Saccharomyces cerevisiae S288C: one gene and its partners. The gene in region 1 interacts genetically with each later gene. Each region holds a gene or a part of one and is shown in the gene's direction. Other genes may lie near its edges. The genes, in order: SNF1, REG1, IRA2 and NBP2.

Region 1 (5,057 bases):
AGCGACAGCTTCCTCTTCTCCGCAGCGATGCGGAACATCTTGTTGAAGATTTGCTTGATTCCGGTAGCAGTGCGGGTATCGTTGCCCGTGTCATTGTCAATGAAGTAGATAATCTTCTCGATGTTCTGACCCGTTTCTGTGTGAAGGAACTTGAGCGTAAACGTGGACGTCTGCGTGTCGATCTCTGTCAGTCTGACATGCTTGACGGCCTTGGTAATGGGAACGTGGCCAAAAACGGCGAGACAATCCTCCAGCCCCAACTTGTGCGTATCGTTGATGCTTACAATTAACGAATCCCACATACTTGTGTATACCCGTATACTTGCTTGAGTTGATAGAACGCACGCTCTCGCCGATATAAGCCTCCACTCTTTATATATACCATATCCAAATAGGTGTGCACTTTGTGGCAAGGAGTAATTATAAACGAACAGAATATCCCGACCACATGGCAAGACCAAGAAAGTTCAAGACTGCGCAAGAAACGGCAGAACAGAAGCTGCTCACTAACTTCAACCTTGTAACTGAATTCGTAGGGTTAAAACTCCACCACGTTTGTAGCGGAGCAATGTCGCCTTTAAGAAGTCGCTAGCTATCTCTTTCGCCTCCGTATAGCAATCATTGTCTAATGCAATCCGCCATCGTTATGTCCGCGGCTTTTGTCTGGAGGGCAAATCACGATAGGAAGAGGCATCTTCTGTAGTAAAGGCGTCTGTAGTAAAACCTTTTCTTGGAAGCCATAACAAATCATGGCCACCAATGCCTGGCAAAAAAGGGTGGCATTGAAGGGAAATTTCAAAGATTTTTTTAATAGAGGCCCTAGGAAAAAACATGTCCGTACGTTTAGATACGGTTATAAACTGTACAATCATTTGCTATCAAATGCTGAACCTTCCCCAAGGGACTAAAAGCTGGAAATGGCAGTGTGCTACTATTTCTTTTAGTCGTATATTTAACTCTCGATCTTGCAGGCTATGATGTCCCATATGATGTCCCACATGACGCAAGTAACTTCAAAAAAAGAGGAATTGCGTGGCGGCGTGGATGCAAAAGGATGGGCGTGATGATGGGACTCGAGACCTGGTTTTACTCAATGTTAGTCATATGTATATAGTCCTTATAGGCCCATATTAGAAAGTACATGTCATAGTTACCCTCTGCAGTTTTTCTCGTAGCGGAAGGGGATGGAAATTTTTAACGTAAAAGAAAGTTGGTAAGAGTATGGCACATCAACAGGTAGCGTTATAGGGGCCAAGACATAGCTTTGGGCTTAGTACTGTAGGCTTGTTACCAGAACTTTCATTTATCGAAATATTCTTTTTTCACATTTCCTCTTACTGCGCATTCGTGTCCAAACAGTCATTCAGGAAGTATAACGATAAACAATAGATTGAAGCCTGAAAAAAAAAAAAAAAGCACGACAATAGAAATTGTTTCAGTGTCATTGGCTTTTGATAATATATAGAGGCTGTTTCAATAATCATAGCGAAAGAAATAGAAGTTTTTTTTTGTAACAAGTTTTGCTACACTCCCTTAATAAAGTCAACATGAGCAGTAACAACAACACAAACACAGCACCTGCCAATGCAAATTCTAGCCACCACCACCACCATCACCACCATCACCACCACCATCACGGTCATGGCGGAAGCAACTCGACGCTAAACAATCCCAAGTCGTCCTTAGCGGATGGTGCACATATCGGGAACTACCAAATCGTCAAAACGCTGGGAGAGGGGTCCTTTGGTAAAGTTAAATTGGCATATCATACCACTACGGGCCAAAAAGTTGCTCTAAAAATCATTAATAAGAAGGTTTTGGCAAAGAGTGATATGCAGGGCAGAATTGAAAGAGAAATATCTTATCTGAGACTCTTAAGACACCCCCACATCATCAAACTGTATGATGTTATCAAATCCAAAGATGAAATCATTATGGTTATAGAGTACGCCGGGAACGAATTGTTTGACTATATTGTTCAGAGAGACAAAATGAGCGAGCAAGAGGCAAGAAGATTTTTCCAGCAGATCATCAGTGCCGTCGAGTACTGCCATAGGCACAAAATTGTCCATAGAGATCTGAAGCCTGAAAACTTACTACTAGATGAGCATCTGAATGTAAAGATTGCCGATTTTGGTTTGTCAAACATCATGACTGATGGTAATTTCTTAAAGACTTCTTGTGGTTCTCCCAATTATGCGGCTCCTGAAGTTATCAGCGGTAAGCTGTACGCAGGCCCAGAAGTGGACGTGTGGTCATGTGGGGTTATCCTTTATGTTATGCTTTGTCGTCGTCTACCGTTTGACGATGAAAGCATCCCAGTGCTTTTCAAGAATATCAGCAACGGTGTTTACACCTTGCCTAAATTTTTATCTCCTGGAGCTGCTGGGCTAATCAAAAGAATGTTAATCGTTAATCCATTGAACAGAATAAGCATTCATGAAATTATGCAAGACGATTGGTTCAAAGTTGACCTGCCAGAATATCTACTTCCACCAGATTTGAAACCACACCCAGAAGAAGAGAATGAAAATAATGACTCAAAAAAGGATGGCAGCAGCCCAGATAACGATGAAATTGATGACAACCTTGTCAATATTTTATCATCGACCATGGGTTACGAAAAAGACGAGATTTATGAGTCCTTAGAATCATCAGAAGACACTCCTGCATTCAACGAAATTAGGGACGCGTACATGTTGATTAAGGAGAATAAATCTTTGATCAAGGATATGAAGGCAAACAAAAGCGTCAGTGATGAACTGGATACCTTTCTGTCCCAGTCACCTCCAACTTTTCAACAACAAAGCAAATCCCATCAAAAGAGTCAAGTAGATCATGAAACTGCCAAGCAACACGCAAGAAGGATGGCAAGTGCTATCACTCAACAAAGGACATATCACCAATCACCCTTCATGGATCAGTATAAAGAAGAAGACTCTACAGTTTCCATTTTGCCTACATCTTTACCTCAGATCCACAGAGCTAATATGTTAGCACAAGGTTCGCCAGCTGCCTCTAAAATATCTCCTCTTGTAACGAAAAAATCTAAAACGAGATGGCATTTTGGTATACGATCTCGCTCATATCCATTAGACGTTATGGGTGAAATTTATATTGCCTTGAAGAATTTGGGTGCCGAATGGGCCAAGCCATCTGAAGAGGATTTATGGACTATCAAATTAAGGTGGAAATATGATATTGGAAACAAGACAAACACTAATGAAAAAATACCTGATTTAATGAAAATGGTAATTCAATTATTTCAAATTGAAACCAATAATTATTTGGTGGATTTCAAATTTGACGGCTGGGAAAGTAGTTATGGAGATGATACTACTGTTTCTAATATTTCTGAAGATGAAATGAGTACTTTTTCAGCCTACCCATTTTTACATTTAACAACAAAACTAATTATGGAATTAGCCGTTAACAGTCAAAGCAATTGATGGTGGAACGTAAAAGAATGATATGGAAGTTCCCTTTTTTTTATGTATCGTAACGTATTTGCAACATCTTTATAATATCCCTTTGTATAAAGTAAACAATCTTGATTAAATAAACCTGAACATAATTTATTGATGTGAATGTTCTTTTATTGGCATTATTTCTTCGGATGAAAAGCAAATTTCACGCTCTATGAGAAAAATTGAAAACGCTATTCTATGTGAAAATAGAGATGAGTACTACTAGTGGCTACAATAAAAATACTGAACCTTTGACAATCGTACAACAAAAGGATCCCAAAAATGAATAAAGACCAGGCAGAAAAATATCAAGAACGGAGTCTGCGACAAAAATACAACCTACTACATGTACTGCCAACACTGAATTCCAGAGCGTTATCGGGACTATACTATAAAAATTTTCATAATTCTGTGAAGCGATATCAAATCATGCTGCCAGAACAACTGAAAAGTGGGAAATTTTGCTCCCATTGCGGGTGTGTTTACGTTCCTAATTTTAACGCAAGTCTTCAGTTAACGACTAATACCGAGCAAGGTGACTCCGACGAACTTGGCGGCGAGAGTATGGAAGGACCAAAAAAATGTATCCAGGTTAATTGCTTGAATTGTGAAAAGTCTAAATTGTTTGAGTGGAAATCTGAGTTCGTTGTTCCAACATTTGGACAAGATGTTAGTCCGATGATCAATAGTACCAGCAGCGGGAAGGTTTCGTACGCGGTAAAGAAGCCCCAAAAGAGTAAAACTAGTACTGGTAAGGAGAGATCCAAGAAGAGAAAGTTGAACTCACTTACAAACCTTTTATCGAAAAGAAATCAAGAGAAAAAAATGGAAAAGAAGAAAAGTTCGTCACTGTCATTAGAAAGTTTTATGAAAAGTTGACTGTATCATCAGTGAACATATAGTATAACAAATCAAGTTTATATAGTTGAATTGAGAGTGTCTGTTAGCTCTTCGATTGACGGATAAGATGCATCCGCGTCGATATTGTTGAGATTAGGAATAGTACCGTTTATACTTTCCTCATCAGCGCGGTCATCATCACTACTGTGAGTTAGACCGCCACTCATTGAACCCTTCGTCACGCCATGTACGCCTTGCCTATATGTTTCTTCCCTCAATGGATTAACTACTTCCTCCTCACCAAGGTTTGAAGAAATACCAGAATCCAGTTTTTTCCGCACGCAACTGTTGGTCCACATTCGCCTTCTATATGAGCCCCTTTGTCCATCAAGATTGAGGTCATAGACCCATTTTGTTTCTGAATCTATCTCGACATACTGAATAAATTCGTCCTCTACCCATTCTTTTGGATCCAAATCAAGCACCCAATGAGAATTGGCTTCCCATTCCCAATCCTTAGGTGGCTCAATTTCTTCTAATGACTTCACTGAATTTTCCTCAATACGCCTCTGGTATATTCTCAAACTAGAGAAAAGAGAATAATCGTCATCAGAGAATCCAACTGGGCGCCATTCTTTGTATTCAGGAAGATACTTTTGGATCTCAAAGATCATAACAAGTCGGTGCTCCCTAGCCTCAATGAGTTTCAAATGCTGCAAAATCTTAGATTCCAGATTAGTACTTATAGTC
Region 2 (6,636 bases), 910 kb from region 1:
TGCATTTATGATATTGCAGAAACTCCTGGGGGCAATTTGCCACAACATCTTCTATGACAATCTCATCCAAAATATCAGACATCTTCTTCACCTATCTTTAACTTATTAGCTCGGTGCTTACAGGAACATGTCTTTATATTAGGGAGGGACCTGCAAGTTTACTTTGAATAGTTTCTTAAGCGTAGGAAAAAAAAAAAACTCCGAACTCGGATGTGCAGCTAAAAGCATCGCTATCTCATCTCCCATTAGACCACAGACAACATAAAATTTTATCTCTTTCTCGTTCTGGGACGTAAGTACAGGTCAATGGATCCATTTTTAGAGTTCAGAGTAGGCAATATCTCATTAAATGAATTTTATAGAAGAACTATTCAAAGCGAATTTGAGAGGATCCTTGAAGATCCCCTATCAAATATGAAAAACTACAGATTTAGTAAACAATCAAACTATAGTACAAAAGAAAAAACACCGTTAAGTATAGGTGTTAACTGTCTTGATATTGATGATACTGGTCAAGTGTTATTAGGAGGTGGAGATGATGGGTCACTTTCCATTTGGGGTTTAGATGAATCATTGCACCGCAATGATGAAGGTGAACAGGAATTGATCAATAAAAGGCTAAACTATATCAAGCGACAGCCTCACCAATCAGATGATGAGCCTGCTCAAATAATGGGTTATAAAAATAAAAGAACACGAATAAACGACAACAACACTATGAGACTGGTGCACAGTTTTCAAACACAGAGAAACAAATATCGAATGTATAGACAGTCTAGTGCTGCAGTTCCAGTTCAAAGATCACACATATCAAATAAAACGGATTCTCCTATCGGGTTTAGTGAGACACTATCTGAAACAGATTCAGAAGCTTCCATATCTCACCATAAATATGGTATAACAACTTTGAAGTGGTATAAGGCTGATAATGGGATGTTTTTTACTGGCTCAAATGATAAAACTGTAAAAATATGGGACACAAACAGGTTTGAAGCGGTTCAAGATATAAACCTGGGGTATAAAATAAATCAAATTGATAATAACGTTGTCGACGACAGTTCTTTGCTTGTAGTGGCAAGTGAAGACTACTATCCAAGATTAATTGACCTGAGAACCATGAATTCAGGGGTAACTGCGCTTGGAATGGGAAATCAAACACGAATGCAATCAGAAATTTTATGCTGCAAATTTAACCCCGTCAGGGAACAGATTATTGCTTGTGGTGACATGGAGGGTGGGGTAAAATTATGGGATCTAAGAATGAGGAACAGACTGTATTCAGAATTGAAAAGAAATAAAAATAGGTTCAAGACTATAAATAACGATGATAATGACGATCAAAGCGATGTCTATTTCAGCTCTAACCAATCAAAAGCCCATCTGAGATGTTGCAGTGACATTGTTTGGAATAGTGAGGGTTCAGAGCTATGTTCAGTCGGCATGGATGGAAAACTGAATGTTTGGAGGCCATTTACGGAAATTCTGCAACCAGAAGGTCTAGCTAGTTATTCCCAGTTGGGAACACAAGACCTGAGCCGTATCAAATACAAAAAAAGAGTATCTCGAAGGTTGCTTTGGTTTGACAAGTTTTTACTGTGTATTACTGACAATGGTGAAGTAGAAATATACAATACGGAGGAAAAAAAACTTTGGAACAAGCTCGAATACCCAATGGTTAATCAGGTAAAAAAAAATCAGGCTTCGCATTGTCAGTTTAGTTCCATGATTGTGCAAACAAATATAATGAATTCAGTTGGCCTCAAATTGTTCTTTGGAACTAACAACAACACCGTTAGCGACGGCGGATCCATCTTTGAATGTTCATAAGTAATAAATGCCGTATAGAATATGATAATAGTCTTCGCGGCTCTTATAATTGAACCAATGTAGGTTTGTATTACCCGGAAACGTATATCGCTACACACGAATATACAACTAATAGCTATATACAAATGCTTTCATCTCAGACTTGGCAGGTATATTTTACCAAGCCGCTTCACCTCTTATCCTCCACTTCATGCATACTTTTCAATAGAGAGCATTTCTTACCACCTCACCTTAGTTTCAGCTGTAGCCTCTTTTCTGACATAATATTGGTAAGTCGGGTTAACCAATTCCGGGCCGAAAGCTTTTTTTATTCACTCTATTTTTGTTTGCATTTAAACTCACAGTGGATATTGAAGGAAGGAATCAGCCCTGAGATTGTGTGACAAGCCTTTTGCAAGACAGAACAGGAGAACAAGAAGCCATAAAAGAAGAATAGACAAATATAAATACTTTTGTTTGAATACCCCTATCAGGTCTTTTAAGGAATAAAAAAGGAGAAAACAGGAGAATATACCATATAGGAGACGCGATTTCAAACGAAAGCTTGAGAAAGGGTTATCGCTGAAATTTAAATAGAAAGAGAAAATATCACAACTAGAGTTAGTATTCTTTTTATCGTTCATCAGCTCTATCAAGATATAATATTTGCTCATCTTTATCTCTCTTATTTTTTTAACACCACCTCCTGAAAGAGAACTAATTGGTATACTAGTTTTACGAGGGCTAGCTTTTGGCTGTTATACGTATAACCACACACCTGGTGTTCTGTACGAACGTTGAAAAGTCAAAGCAAGGGGGAAAAGATAATATCCTTGAAGATTATAAATCCTAAAGCAAGCATATTGACGAAGACGAGATAAGAAAAATCCAAAAATGTCAACAAATCTAGCAAATTACTTCGCCGGTAAGAAAGATATTGAAAACGAGCATGTAAATAGAAATGCGAGCCATGAAAGTAATAGCAAAAGTGATGTCAAAATTAGTGGTAACGATAACGACAACGACGAAGATATGGGGCCTTCAGTATCGATGGCTGTTCAAGCGAAAAATGATGATGATTTCCATAAATCAACTTTCAACCTTAAAAGAACAAGATCAATGGGCCTTCTTGATGAATATATTGACCCTACCAAGAAATTGCTAGGAAGGTCAGACGACTTATATGATAACGACAATGAATATTATGACAACTCATCTAATAATTCTTCAAGCAATTCTTCAGATGATGATTATGATGACGGCTATCAGGAACACTCAACCTCCGTTTCTCCACCGCCGGCGGATAATGATAGCTACTTAATTCCACAAGATGATAATGACGTAGTGGTAGAGCCAGAAAGACATGTTGACTATCTGTCACATGAATGGAAAGAATCAGAAATTTCTAATTCTTGGAAATATATCATCCTAAAGAAAAAGAAAAGAGATGTTGATCTAGTAAATGCTGCTAGGTTAGAAAATGCCTCATGGAGAACATGGGCAAAAGCAAGAAACAACTTGAAAACAGTGTCACCTGAAGTGGTTAATTGGTCAAAAGATTCTGATGTGACTTGGCTATATGGCCCTATTGTAAGAGATTCTGAAGGTAATGCCCAAAGTGAAGAAGAACATGATCTAGAAAGAGGATATGGTTCGGATGATGAAAATTCCAAGAGAATTTCAATGCCCACTAAAAATTCAAAGTCGATCGCAGCTGCTCCGAAACCAATTTTGAAGAAGAGAACCGTCACAGAAATTATAGAGGACAACGCTTTATGGAAACTGAATGAGGCAAGAAAACACATGACAGAAATGAAACATGCTTCGGTAATAATGGATCCCAATGGCAACAAAAACGTCCATGACGATTTCGATGCTCTGGCCGCTCAAGTTAACGCCCAGTACTACCATTATCCCAAAGAATCGAACAGTAGCGTTAGTTTGAAGAGTCAACACTCTGACAAAAAAGATAATTCTACCATACCGAATCCTGTAGGAGAAAATTCAAATGGTGGCGGTGACAAGGGAGAAGAAGACCTGCATTTAAAGTCAGCGCTTCATGTTCAAAACAATAGGTCAACGGCACAATCAAACAAAAGCATACTAGAAAATAGTACCAATGATCGTAAGGCTAACTTGGATCAAAACCTAAATTCTCCTGATAATAATAGGTTCCCCTCCTCAACATCTTCCTCCAATAGAGATAATGAAAACAATTCCATGGGATTATCATCAATATTAACCTCAAACCCAAGTGAAAAATCTAACAAACCTACTAAAAATAGACATATACATTTTAATGACAGGGTGGAACAATGTATGGCACTACGATATCCAGCTTCACAATCGGAGGATGATGAAAGCGATGATGAAAATAAACAATATGTTGATGTTAATAACAATGCGAACGTTACAACAATAAACAACAATAGGACTCCATTGCTAGCCATTCAGCATAAATCTATTCCTATCAACTCCGCAACTGAACATTTGAACAAAAATACTAGCGACGATGATACATCCTCACAATCATCATCTTCATCACATTCTGATGATGAAGAACACGGCGGCCTTTACATAAATGCAAGATTTTCCAGGAGGTCTGACTCTGGAGTTCATTCACCAATAACAGATAATTCCTCTGTGGCTTCATCTACTACTTCCAGAGCTCATGTACGTCCCATAATAAAGTTGCTTCCTGATACCACTTTGAATTATGGATCAGACGAAGAATCTGATAATGGCGAATTTAATGGGTATGGTAATGCTGTGTCACATAACGTCAATACCTCCAGAGGCTATGATTACATATACGATTATAACTCGGTCTACACTGGTGATACTTCCAGTTTTTTACCAGTAGATTCATGTGACATTGTAGATGTTCCTGAAGGAATGGACTTACAAACAGCCATTGCAGATGATAATGCATCAAACTATGAATTTAACAATGCGGTAGAATCCAAGGAAAAACATGTTCCACAACTACACAAAGCTTCAGCAAATAATACAACACGTCAACATGGATCGCATATGTTATTATATGACGACGACAATTACAGCTCTTCATCAGATAGCGAACAGCAATTTATTGAAGACTCACAATACAATAGTAGCGACGACGAAGAGGAAGAAGATGACGATGACCAAGAAGTAGACGATAACCACGATGAAGGACTTTCACTGAGGAGAACATTGTCACTTGGGAAATCAGGATCTACCAATTCTTTGTACGATCTAGCACAACCATCACTCTCTTCGGCAACTCCTCAACAAAAAAATCCTACTAATTTTACAGGGGGTAAAACTGATGTAGACAAAGATGCACAACTGGCTGTCAGGCCGTATCCGTTGAAGCGCAATTCCTCTTCAGGGAACTTCATATTCAATTCAGATAGTGAAGAAGAGAGTAGCAGCGAGGAGGAACAAAGACCATTACCCGCTAACAGTCAGCTGGTTAATCGAAGCGTATTGAAAGGCAGTGTGACACCAGCAAACATATCATCTCAGAAGAAAAAAGCCCTTCCAAAGCAGCCAAAAGCGTCCGATAGTTCACAAAGCTTTAGAATTGTAAATAATACTCCTTCACCAGCCGAAGTGGGGGCGAGTGATGTTGCCATAGAGGGTTATTTCTCTCCTAGAAATGAATCTATCAAGTCTGTTGTTTCCGGGGGAAATATGATGGACCATCAAGATCACTCAGAAATGGACACTTTGGCAAAAGGATTTGAAAACTGCCATATAAATAATGCTAGTAAGCTAAAGGACAAGAAAGTTGATAGCGTGCAAACCACTAGAAAAGAAGCGTCTTTGACGGATTCGAGTAATGAAAGCTTACACAAAGTGGTGCAGAATGCAAGAGGTATGGCAAGCAAGTACTTGCACTCTTGGAAAAAGAGTGACGTCAAGCCACAAGAAAATGGAAATGACAGCAGTTAGAAGAAAGAATTTTGAAGTCAACATGAAGAGAAAATAAAAATCCAGGTAGTGTGGATCAGTGCCGTCTTTAGGATCCAAGTAAGCTGTAATCGACTGGCATTGTCAAGGACAAATGTAGACAGCGAAGCAGTTATTTTACGTACACAATTAAATTCGCTCCAGATTTCAAAACTTCTTTATACCTTTACAATATTTGGTACTTATGTACAAGAACTTCTTGAGCTTCCATAGTCGTATGTGTGTTCTATATATTAGCAATTAAACGCAGCTGATCTAAGATATGTTCGTGGGTAATGATTTTCAGATAGAGTACAATCAATGTTTTCTTCGATCTTTAAAGGGTTTTTCCTTTATAAAGAAGACACCACACAACAGTCTAGAAAGTAAACAAAACAAACTACGACACGGCTTGTTTTAGGCACAACTTTGTTTTAGGCAGAGCTTACAGTAATTGGCAGTATTGATATCCTAAAGCAGTATTAAAACAATTTAAAGGTTTGGTGAGGTATCTGGCCAATGTCAATAAGCGAAACACCTCATAATAAAAGCCAGGGACTGCAAAAAGCGGCTGGTCGTCCTAAAATTGTTGTTCCTGAGGGATCGCCTTCTCGTAATAGTGATAGTGGCTCTTTTACTATAGAGGGTGATACTTCCCTTAATGACGACTTGTTAAGTATATCTGGCAGTGTCACACCAAGAGCGAGAAGATCTTCGAGATTAAGTCTGGATTCAATAACGCCGCGAAGAAGTTTTGATTCTAGGACACTATCTGTTGCAAATAGTAGATCATTCGGTTTTGAAAATGAAACACATAGTGGGTCCATGGACTTTTCGCCATTGGGAAATAACTCCATCTATGAAATTGTGATGAACACAAGGAGGAAAAACTGG
Region 3 (6,026 bases), on another chromosome or scaffold:
AGAAGAGATAAGCCCTAATTCCACCTCTAATGTGGTTGTGTCAAGAGAATGCTTGGATAACTTCATGAAACAACTCCTTAAGTTGGAAGAATCGTTAAATAAGTTGGAATTGGAGCAAAAGGTCACAAATAAAGAACCTAACCACAGAATAAGCGGTACGATTGACATACCAGAAGATAGGTCCGAACTAGTGAACTTTTTCACAGAGTTGAAAACAGTCAAACAACTTGAGGACGTTTTTCAACGTTACCATGACTATGAGAGGTTATCACAAGAATGTGACAGTAAGACGGAAATCGCCTCTGACCATTCGAAAAAGGAAACTAAAATAGAAGTGGAACCCCCAAATGAGCGCTCATTGCAAATCACAATGAACCAAAGGGACAATTCATTGTATTTCCAGTTGTTTAACAACACAAACTCTGTTTTGGCAGGCAACTGCAAACTGAAGTTTACTGACGCTGGCGATAAGCCAACCACGCAAATTATTGACATGGGTCCTCATGAAATAGGAATAAAGGAGTACAAGGAATACCGATACTTTCCATACGCACTTGATTTAGAGGCCGGCTCCACTATCGAGATTGAAAATCAGTATGGAGAAGTGATCTTCTTGGGCAAGTATGGCTCTTCTCCAATGATTAACTTAAGGCCACCTTCAAGATTATCTGCAGAAAGTTTACAGGCATCCCAAGAGCCATTTTACTCCTTTCAAATCGATACGTTACCAGAACTGGATGACTCTAGTATCATCAGTACATCCATTTCACTCTCTTATGACGGTGACGACAATGAAAAAGCCCTGACTTGGGAAGAACTCTAGGTCAAACTCTATTTTTATACAGCAATGAGTACCTTTTCACATACACATAAATATATTAAATATAATAAATACAATAAATATAAAATAACCCTTTTCGAAACTCTTTACTTCCTAAGGCCTCTCATTACTTATCACCTAGCATCATGCTCTTCATACATGCCATCTACTTTCAAACGATATACGGCTAACCAGAAAAGTACGGACAATCAGGGACGAGCAGGGACATGACGCCTTCCGCACAGATCCCAGAGAAAAGCAGGGAAACAAGAAAATAAGAAAACAAGAAAAACAGTAGTTACCCTTGTAAGTGTCATCCACAACAGAACCAATACTCTTACTCTTCCGCTCATTCCCCGCAGAATGATAGAACTATTCTAAATCCCCTTGCCTTGCTTGGCCTTGACTTGGGTTGGGACTTGGACCTCTAGAACCGATGTGCCTTCAAACATCTTAGCGAGATAAGAGTCTGCCATTAATGCATCGAGCCAATATCTTGGACTAGTACGAGGTTCACGTAGCCTTTCTTGCACGGCACCAGCGTCCCACCCCAAGTTCTTTGCTATACTGACCGCCTTACACATTTTAGTGTGATTCCAACCCAAAGTAGCTCCTCAAAAAGGGTCACCCGATCGGTGAATCAATCCGCGGCGCAGAAATGTTCGTAGAGCTCTCGTTTCTTCTAGAACGCTCCCTTGATGAAACGAAAATTTCCATCACAATAAAGCTCGCACGCCTTTTTGAAAACCCCAAGCTTTGCTGTGTCTTCTTGTGAAAAGTTTTGCCCAACGATTATCTATTCTACATATAACCGGGGAGTTAAGCACATCCTATTGCCCTACATTCTCTCCGCTTACTTCATTGTCTAGAGCTCCTGGGAAACAAAAGACCGAAAAAGCGAAAACAAAATCAGAACAAGGCTTAAGTACTTTTTCACCAATTGTAGCAAACATTTAACCACATTTTAGCACACTAGCATATAGCATTGTCCTCTGTTATTCGTTTTGCTTTTCTCCTTTAGTGTTACTTTTCCCCCAACGTTACACCATTTTTTGATATCAACTAAACTGTATACATTATCTTTCTTCAGGGAGAAGCATGTCCCAGCCCACTAAGAATAAGAAGAAAGAACACGGGACCGATTCCAAGTCATCCCGCATGACTCGGACGTTGGTTAATCATATTCTTTTTGAAAGAATTCTCCCGATCCTTCCGGTGGAGTCTAATCTAAGTACCTATTCGGAAGTGGAAGAGTATTCCTCATTCATTTCATGCAGATCTGTGCTCATTAACGTTACCGTTTCCCGAGATGCAAATGCTATGGTGGAAGGCACCTTGGAGTTGATAGAATCGCTTCTTCAAGGGCACGAAATCATTTCAGATAAGGGTAGCAGTGACGTTATTGAATCAATACTGATTATACTAAGATTGTTAAGTGATGCGCTAGAGTATAATTGGCAAAATCAAGAAAGCCTTCATTACAACGACATTTCGACTCACGTAGAACATGACCAAGAACAGAAGTACAGACCAAAGCTTAACAGTATTCTGCCCGACTACTCGTCGACTCATTCCAATGGCAACAAACACTTTTTCCACCAGAGCAAACCTCAGGCACTGATACCGGAACTGGCATCGAAATTGCTTGAGAGTTGCGCGAAGTTGAAGTTCAATACAAGAACTTTGCAAATTTTACAAAATATGATCAGTCATGTTCATGGAAACATTCTAACGACTTTGAGTTCCTCGATTCTTCCCCGCCACAAATCCTATCTGACAAGGCACAACCATCCTTCTCATTGTAAAATGATTGACTCTACTCTAGGCCATATTCTCCGATTTGTAGCGGCTTCCAATCCGTCCGAGTATTTTGAATTTATCAGAAAGAGTGTGCAAGTGCCCGTAACACAGACACACACGCATTCACACTCCCATTCACACTCTTTGCCATCTTCCGTTTATAACAGCATAGTGCCCCACTTTGATCTTTTCAGCTTCATCTATTTAAGCAAGCATAATTTTAAGAAATACTTGGAACTCATCAAAAACTTATCGGTGACGTTAAGGAAAACGATTTATCATTGCCTACTTTTGCATTACAGCGCCAAAGCAATAATGTTTTGGATAATGGCTAGGCCTGCGGAATATTATGAACTCTTCAACTTATTAAAAGATAATAACAATGAACACTCGAAATCCTTAAACACGTTAAACCATACACTTTTCGAGGAGATCCATTCGACTTTTAATGTGAATAGCATGATAACCACCAATCAAAATGCTCATCAAGGCTCATCTTCCCCTTCGTCCTCCTCGCCATCGTCACCACCTAGCTCATCATCATCGGATAACAACAATCAAAACATAATAGCAAAATCCTTAAGTCGTCAGCTTTCTCACCACCAGTCATACATTCAACAGCAGTCTGAAAGAAAACTACATTCTTCATGGACTACAAACTCTCAATCCTCTACTTCACTGTCATCTTCAACGTCTAATTCAACAACAACTGATTTCTCTACTCACACTCAACCAGGAGAATATGACCCTTCCTTACCAGATACTCCCACGATGTCTAACATCACTATTAGTGCATCTTCATTATTATCTCAAACTCCAACTCCAACAACACAATTGCAACAGCGGTTGAACTCAGCAGCTGCAGCCGCCGCCGCAGCTGCTTCACCATCGAATTCCACCCCAACTGGATACACAGCAGAGCAACAAAGTCGCGCTTCATACGATGCACACAAAACTGGCCATACTGGTAAGGATTATGACGAACATTTTTTGTCTGTCACTCGTTTGGATAATGTTTTGGAGTTATACACGCACTTTGATGATACTGAGGTACTACCACACACATCCGTACTGAAGTTTTTAACTACTTTGACAATGTTCGATATTGACCTTTTTAATGAATTAAACGCTACATCATTCAAATATATTCCTGATTGTACTATGCATCGTCCAAAAGAAAGAACAAGTTCTTTCAATAATACTGCACACGAGACAGGTTCCGAAAAGACTTCGGGTATAAAACATATTACACAAGGCTTAAAGAAATTAACTTCTTTACCTTCCTCAACCAAAAAAACTGTAAAATTTGTGAAGATGTTGCTAAGAAATTTAAATGGGAATCAAGCTGTATCAGATGTTGCCCTCTTAGATACAATGAGGGCCTTACTATCATTCTTTACAATGACTTCTGCGGTCTTTCTCGTGGATAGAAACTTACCCTCAGTACTTTTTGCCAAGAGACTCATCCCCATAATGGGGACAAATTTAAGCGTCGGTCAAGACTGGAATTCAAAAATAAATAACAGTTTGATGGTTTGTTTGAAAAAAAACTCCACCACGTTTGTTCAATTACAATTAATATTCTTCTCTTCAGCTATTCAATTCGATCATGAATTATTACTGGCACGTCTGAGCATCGATACAATGGCCAACAATTTAAACATGCAGAAGCTATGCCTTTATACTGAAGGATTCAGGATATTCTTCGACATACCAAGTAAGAAGGAATTGCGGAAGGCAATTGCGGTTAAAATTTCTAAATTTTTCAAAACATTATTCTCCATTATAGCAGATATTCTTTTACAAGAATTTCCGTATTTTGATGAGCAAATCACCGACATAGTTGCTTCCATTCTTGACGGTACAATTATCAATGAGTATGGTACGAAGAAACATTTCAAGGGGAGCTCACCCTCTTTATGTTCGACAACCCGGTCAAGATCAGGATCTACATCTCAAAGTTCAATGACACCAGTTTCTCCGCTGGGACTGGATACTGATATATGTCCAATGAACACCCTGTCTTTAGTTGGTTCAAGTACTTCAAGAAATTCTGACAACGTTAATTCATTAAACAGTTCACCAAAGAACTTGTCTTCTGATCCATACTTGTCACATCTTGTGGCCCCAAGAGCGCGTCATGCTTTAGGTGGGCCATCTAGTATTATAAGGAATAAAATACCGACTACATTGACTTCACCTCCAGGAACGGAAAAATCTTCACCAGTACAACGTCCGCAAACGGAAAGCATCAGTGCCACACCAATGGCCATAACAAATTCTACTCCATTATCGTCGGCAGCATTCGGAATTCGATCGCCTTTGCAGAAAATAAGAACGAGGCGTTATTCCGATGAAAGTTTAGGAAAATTCATGAAATCAACAAATAATTACATTCAAGAACATTTGATACCAAAAGATTTGAATGAAGCAACTCTTCAAGATGCTAGAAGAATAATGATTAATATTTTCAGTATTTTTAAGAGACCGAATAGTTACTTCATCATTCCTCACAATATAAACTCGAATTTACAATGGGTTTCGCAGGATTTTAGAAATATTATGAAACCGATTTTCGTCGCCATCGTAAGTCCGGATGTAGATTTACAGAATACTGCTCAATCATTCATGGATACCTTATTATCGAATGTTATTACTTATGGTGAATCAGATGAGAATATCAGTATTGAAGGGTATCATCTTCTTTGCAGTTACACTGTAACATTATTTGCAATGGGCCTTTTCGATTTGAAAATTAATAATGAAAAGCGTCAAATTCTCTTGGATATAACTGTCAAGTTTATGAAGGTTAGATCACATTTAGCAGGGATCGCGGAGGCCTCACACCACATGGAATACATAAGTGATTCTGAAAAACTCACCTTTCCGCTGATTATGGGGACTGTTGGTAGGGCCCTATTTGTTTCATTATACTCTAGTCAACAAAAAATTGAAAAGACTTTAAAGATTGCTTACACAGAGTATCTTTCTGCAATCAATTTTCATGAGAGGAATATTGATGATGCTGATAAAACTTGGGTTCATAATATTGAGTTTGTAGAAGCGATGTGTCATGACAACTACACAACTTCTGGTTCAATTGCTTTCCAAAGGAGGACAAGAAATAATATTTTACGATTTGCTACTATTCCTAACGCTATCTTACTTGATTCTATGAGGATGATCTATAAGAAGTGGCATACTTACACACACAGTAAAAGTTTAGAAAAACAAGAACGGAACGACTTCAGAAATTTCGCGGGTATTTTAGCCTCTTTGTCGGGTATCCTATTCATCAATAAAAAGATATTGCAAGAAATGTATCCATACCTACTCGACACCGTTTCAGAATTGAAAAAAAATATAGACTCTTTTATCTCAAAACAATGCCAATGGTTAAACTATC
Region 4 (3,895 bases), 630 kb from region 1:
TGGAATTATCGAGTTAGACTTCATTAAATTATTGAACTTTATAGGAGTTACTCATGAACATGAAAATTTCCAGCAATATTTAAAAATATTCAGAAATTACGATTTAATTGATTTCAAATTGATCAAAGACAAACCGAAGGATAAACCATTTCAAAAGGAATGGTTTCATGATACTTTAGTGAATGATCCAAATATCTATCACACTTCAAGGTTCGTTCCCGCTGTAGGGAATATTCTTTCAAAGGTTATAGCGAATCCATTGTTATTGAGCGAACAATACTTCCCATATTTAAAGGACAAGCCAATTGAGTTATTGAATGAAGAAGAATTCCAAGCAGGCTTAGCGAATACCTCTGCTAACTCCTCCTCATCCTTAAGGAATCCCCGTCACAAGGCAGCTTGGACCACGAAAAGCTCTAATATAAAAAAAAACATACCTAGACAAAGATTCTTCTACTATGTTATTGGTGGTATATCAATTCCCGAAATTAAAGCTGCTTATGATCAATCAAACTTGAAGAACAGAGATATCTTTATTGGCAGCGACGAGATATTAACACCAACAAAATTCTTAGATGAAGTGGAACGTTTACAAAATCCTAGAGAATTTTTCAAATTCAAGGAAGATCAGCGCCAGCAAGTAAACCCGCCTGATTTCCTTCTAAGGGAAATGAAACCGGTGGCACAACCAGTCTCTCATGTTCATTTAAAAAGCCAAGACAATAGTCCTAAGTCTGGTACTTCTAGTCCCAAAGCAGCAGGTTCTCTCAAGTCAGAACCACCCGAAAAAGAGAAGAAACGTAGCAAATTCTCGAGGTTCTTGAAAAGAAAATCTCACCATGATAAATGATCCCTTAAAGAAGACAGTGATAAAAAAAATCACTTGCTCTTGTCAAAAAAAAAAGATATAAACGTACTATTTATGTATCGTTCCTATGTACTATCTAACATGCTTATGGAGAAATTCTTGATGATATTCAGATTTTGTCATATCGTTAATGTATCCGGACGCTGATTTTTTTGTTGCATGTTCCTTAATATTTGTCTCTTTGGTTACTTTATGGCGTCCAAACGCCGTGCCCTTTCTCCACGATCGCCTAGACGAATTTCCTCCCTTTAATTGTTCATTTCCTTCAAGCTCTGCTTTATCTTCCACTTTATTTTTTTGAGTAACCAGCAGCTCTTGCAACGAGTCTTTTTGGTCTTTCTCACTGCGGGTTTCTTGGAGGTTCCCACTCCCCACAACATCCTGTTTCTCTTCGTTCATTACTGCCTCCTCTAAAGATTTATCGTTGCTCCTATCTTCTTGCGCACAGTTTGCTCTAAGATTTTCCTCCTCTTTAAATTTCCTGTATTTTAATGTTGTATGTCCTGGTAGTAATCTGGCATGCTCGATGCCTGTTGGTGTATAAGCGGCCGCTTTTGCACCGCTTCTTGCTTCTAACTGTGGTCTGTGTGATGTGGTCATGGTCTTGTAGCCCTTTCAAATGCCAGCCTCTGAGCAAGTTCTTTATGGAGCCTTTTGGAGCTTTGTCATTCCTATTTCCTTTTCGTGAAGAGATAGACTATTATTTTTAGTCACACCAACTTATTTTTCCAGTTGCGAGAAATGGAGAATTCACTTCAGAAGTAGCTTGTAATGGACAATGCAACACAGTGCACAGTAACAACACGCTCAATCACACATAATAACAGCTACCAATAAAACGTGATAGATACTAACAAATTTTAAGTATTTTTCTCAACTTTACCTTACTTTAACTTCCACTGACATATTTATTGAATCTACGATGGCAACGATGGAAACGACCACACAAAAAGATACCAATATTTTGAAATCTGGTCTCAAAAAAACTATAGGTGTTCTCAATGAGGCAGTATTACAGAACGGGAGAGAGGTGGAGGCAGTGCAGGCAGGAAATAGTGACACAATGGAAGATACAGAAACAACCACAATAGGTTATATATCAATCAAAGATTATGCGTACGCAGATTCGAATCCTCTCCATTATGGTTATTTTGATGGAGACAATGAGGAGGATGAAATGGTTTCAGATTCTTCAAATGGAGAAGACACATACAATAAAAGACAAAGTATAACACTACCAGACGACTACATAGTTAACCAACGTGCTGTTGCCCTCTACGATTTCGAACCCGAAAATGATAATGAATTGAGATTGGCTGAGGGTGACATCGTATTTATCAGTTACAAGCATGGGCAAGGTTGGCTAGTAGCAGAAAATGAGTCAGGATCAAAAACAGGGTTGGTACCGGAGGAGTTTGTCTCTTATATACAGCCGGAAGATGGTGAGAACGAGGTGGAGAATAAGGCTCGACCTTTCTATTTGACACATTTGATTACACAGAGCGTTAGTCCTAAAAACAATATTGATAACACTAACGAAGATGAATACGACGACAACGATGAATGGGAAGATATTGATGATGTTGCGGAGGTCGAAGCAGATATGAAAACAAAATTAGATATATCGGATTGAATACAAATTCCAATTGGTTATGACAGTAAAATACTCACTAAAAACAGATAAAGAGGTCACCACCCTGGCGGTATGCCTGGCCGAATCTTCTTCCATCTGTTCTATGTCATAATTTCCGTTTCTTACGGATATATACATATATATCAGTGTATGTACTTATGCATATGTTAAATTAGAAGACTATTAGTCAGAATATTCTTCCTCTATGTCCAACTCTTCCAAGTCTTCATTCTCATTCACTAAATCACCCTTCTTGATTTGTGTTAACTCACTTGGATCTAGAGGACCACCAATTTCTTGGAGTAAAGCATTAGCACCGCCCAATAATTCTTGCACAATTTCATCTTTGCTGTCAGCATTGACACCTGCTTGCAATGCAAAACTTAGCGCTAATCTTGAGTCATAGATTAACTGGGAGATTGGTTCGTGGGATAAATCCAAAGGAACTTCTTGAATGAGTTGGTTAAACTCGTATATATTTTCCGGACGCAGGCTTACTTCGGGATTGTTCAACTTGAAAATTTCTAATTTACTCATTAAATAATAAGTAAAACCCTCTAGATAATAACCCTCTATGTTATCCTCATCTATATCTCTTACTGCGGCAATAACTTTCAATGCGACTTCGTAAGCTCCCACTTCGAGGCACATCTTTGTTAAAGATAAAAGAGGTTGTAAAAGATCTACATACTCTGACTGTAAACCAGCTTTCTGAGTTGTGTCACCATTTTCATTTATACCGCTACCAATTTCTTGTTTTTTCAACTCAAAGAAATTCCAGGCTTGTGAGAATGCTTCATAAGCTTCTCCAAATTTTTGTTGCGAGATTTTGATAGAACCCAGGGTAGACCATGTTTCAGGAGATTTTCCCTCTGTGAGTTCCATCGCCTTTTGTATTAACTCCTCACACTGCTCTTCTGCATTTGGCTCCATACATAAATCCGTCATCCAAATTTCAATCACAGAAAGCAGTCCACCTACAATCTTTTCAACCTGAACGTTGGTTAACATTTCACCTCCAGTATTAGAGATGTTCATTATTCCGCGAGTTATTATCGATACACCATCCTGTCCACCCATGATTTGACCCATGGTAAAAAATTTGTCCGGTCCGCCAACTTGTCCCTCAGGATCTAATTCGCAAGCACGCGCTAAAATTGGGTAGGCTTTCTCTACCTGTCCATTATCCAGGTATGCATCGGCAAACACTTCATTCAGTATTACATTGTTTGCGTTTTCTTTTTTCAGTGAACTTTTGAACGGCTTCAATATTTTGAGCGCCTTTTTGGCATTATTTTCAGCCAGGGCTTCTTTGGCTTGCCTAATTGTGGCTTCAAGTTCACTCATATTCCTTTTTTAATCCTCAGCCTGAAGATGCTTTTAGGTATAAGTTC

What was found.
Region 2: of SNF1 (region 1) and REG1, changing one suppresses a phenotype caused by changing the other (phenotypic suppression), as found in Saccharomyces cerevisiae (12 studies listed by BioGRID, with this or other methods).
Region 3: mutations in SNF1 (region 1) and IRA2 together harm fitness more than expected from each alone (negative genetic interaction), as found in Saccharomyces cerevisiae (5 studies listed by BioGRID).
Region 4: mutations in SNF1 (region 1) and NBP2 together harm fitness more than expected from each alone (negative genetic interaction), as found in Saccharomyces cerevisiae (4 studies listed by BioGRID).

The regions. Positions count from the first base shown.
Region 1 is NC_001136.10:1,410,826-1,415,882, forward strand, and holds SNF1 (AMP-activated serine/threonine-protein kinase catalytic subunit SNF1), read left to right. Parts: upstream 1-1,547; coding exon 1,548-3,449; downstream 3,450-5,057. Other genes in the region: YDR476C (uncharacterized protein), read right to left, coding at 1-302; SNM1 (Snm1p), read left to right, coding at 3,750-4,346; PEX29 (Pex29p), read right to left, coding at 4,385-5,057. UniProt on the Saccharomyces cerevisiae protein: Serine/threonine protein kinase essential for release from glucose repression.
Region 2 is NC_001136.10:496,944-503,579, reverse strand, and holds REG1 (protein phosphatase regulator REG1), read left to right. Parts: upstream 1-2,700; coding exon 2,701-5,745; downstream 5,746-6,636. Other genes in the region: MIX14 (Mix14p), read right to left, coding at 1-82; RAD28 (Rad28p), read left to right, coding at 307-1,827; YDR029W (uncharacterized protein), read right to left, coding at 2,166-2,480; VPS54 (Vps54p), read left to right, coding at 6,262-6,636. UniProt on the Saccharomyces cerevisiae protein: Involved in RNA processing and negative regulation of glucose repression. Regulates the level of two antigens, P43 and P70. Binds to protein phosphatase type 1. Functions with REG2 and SNF1 protein kinase to regulate growth.
Region 3 is NC_001147.6:169,152-175,177, forward strand, and holds the start of IRA2 (Ras GTPase activating protein IRA2), read left to right. Parts: upstream 1-1,918; coding exon 1,919-6,026. Other genes in the region: ATG19 (Atg19p), read left to right, coding at 1-823. UniProt on the Saccharomyces cerevisiae protein: Inhibitory regulator of the Ras-cyclic AMP pathway. Stimulates the GTPase activity of Ras proteins.
Region 4 is NC_001136.10:778,996-782,890, reverse strand, and holds NBP2 (adaptor protein NBP2), read left to right. Parts: upstream 1-1,790; coding exon 1,791-2,501; downstream 2,502-3,895. Other genes in the region: SEC1 (Sec1p), read left to right, coding at 1-850; U2-type spliceosomal complex subunit CWC15, read right to left, coding at 941-1,468; ACL4 (Acl4p), read right to left, coding at 2,685-3,848. UniProt on the Saccharomyces cerevisiae protein: Negatively regulates the high-osmolarity glycerol (HOG) pathway through its negative regulation of the HOG1 kinase activity. Mediates the binding between the PTC1 phosphatase and the PBS2 MAP/ERK kinase (MEK).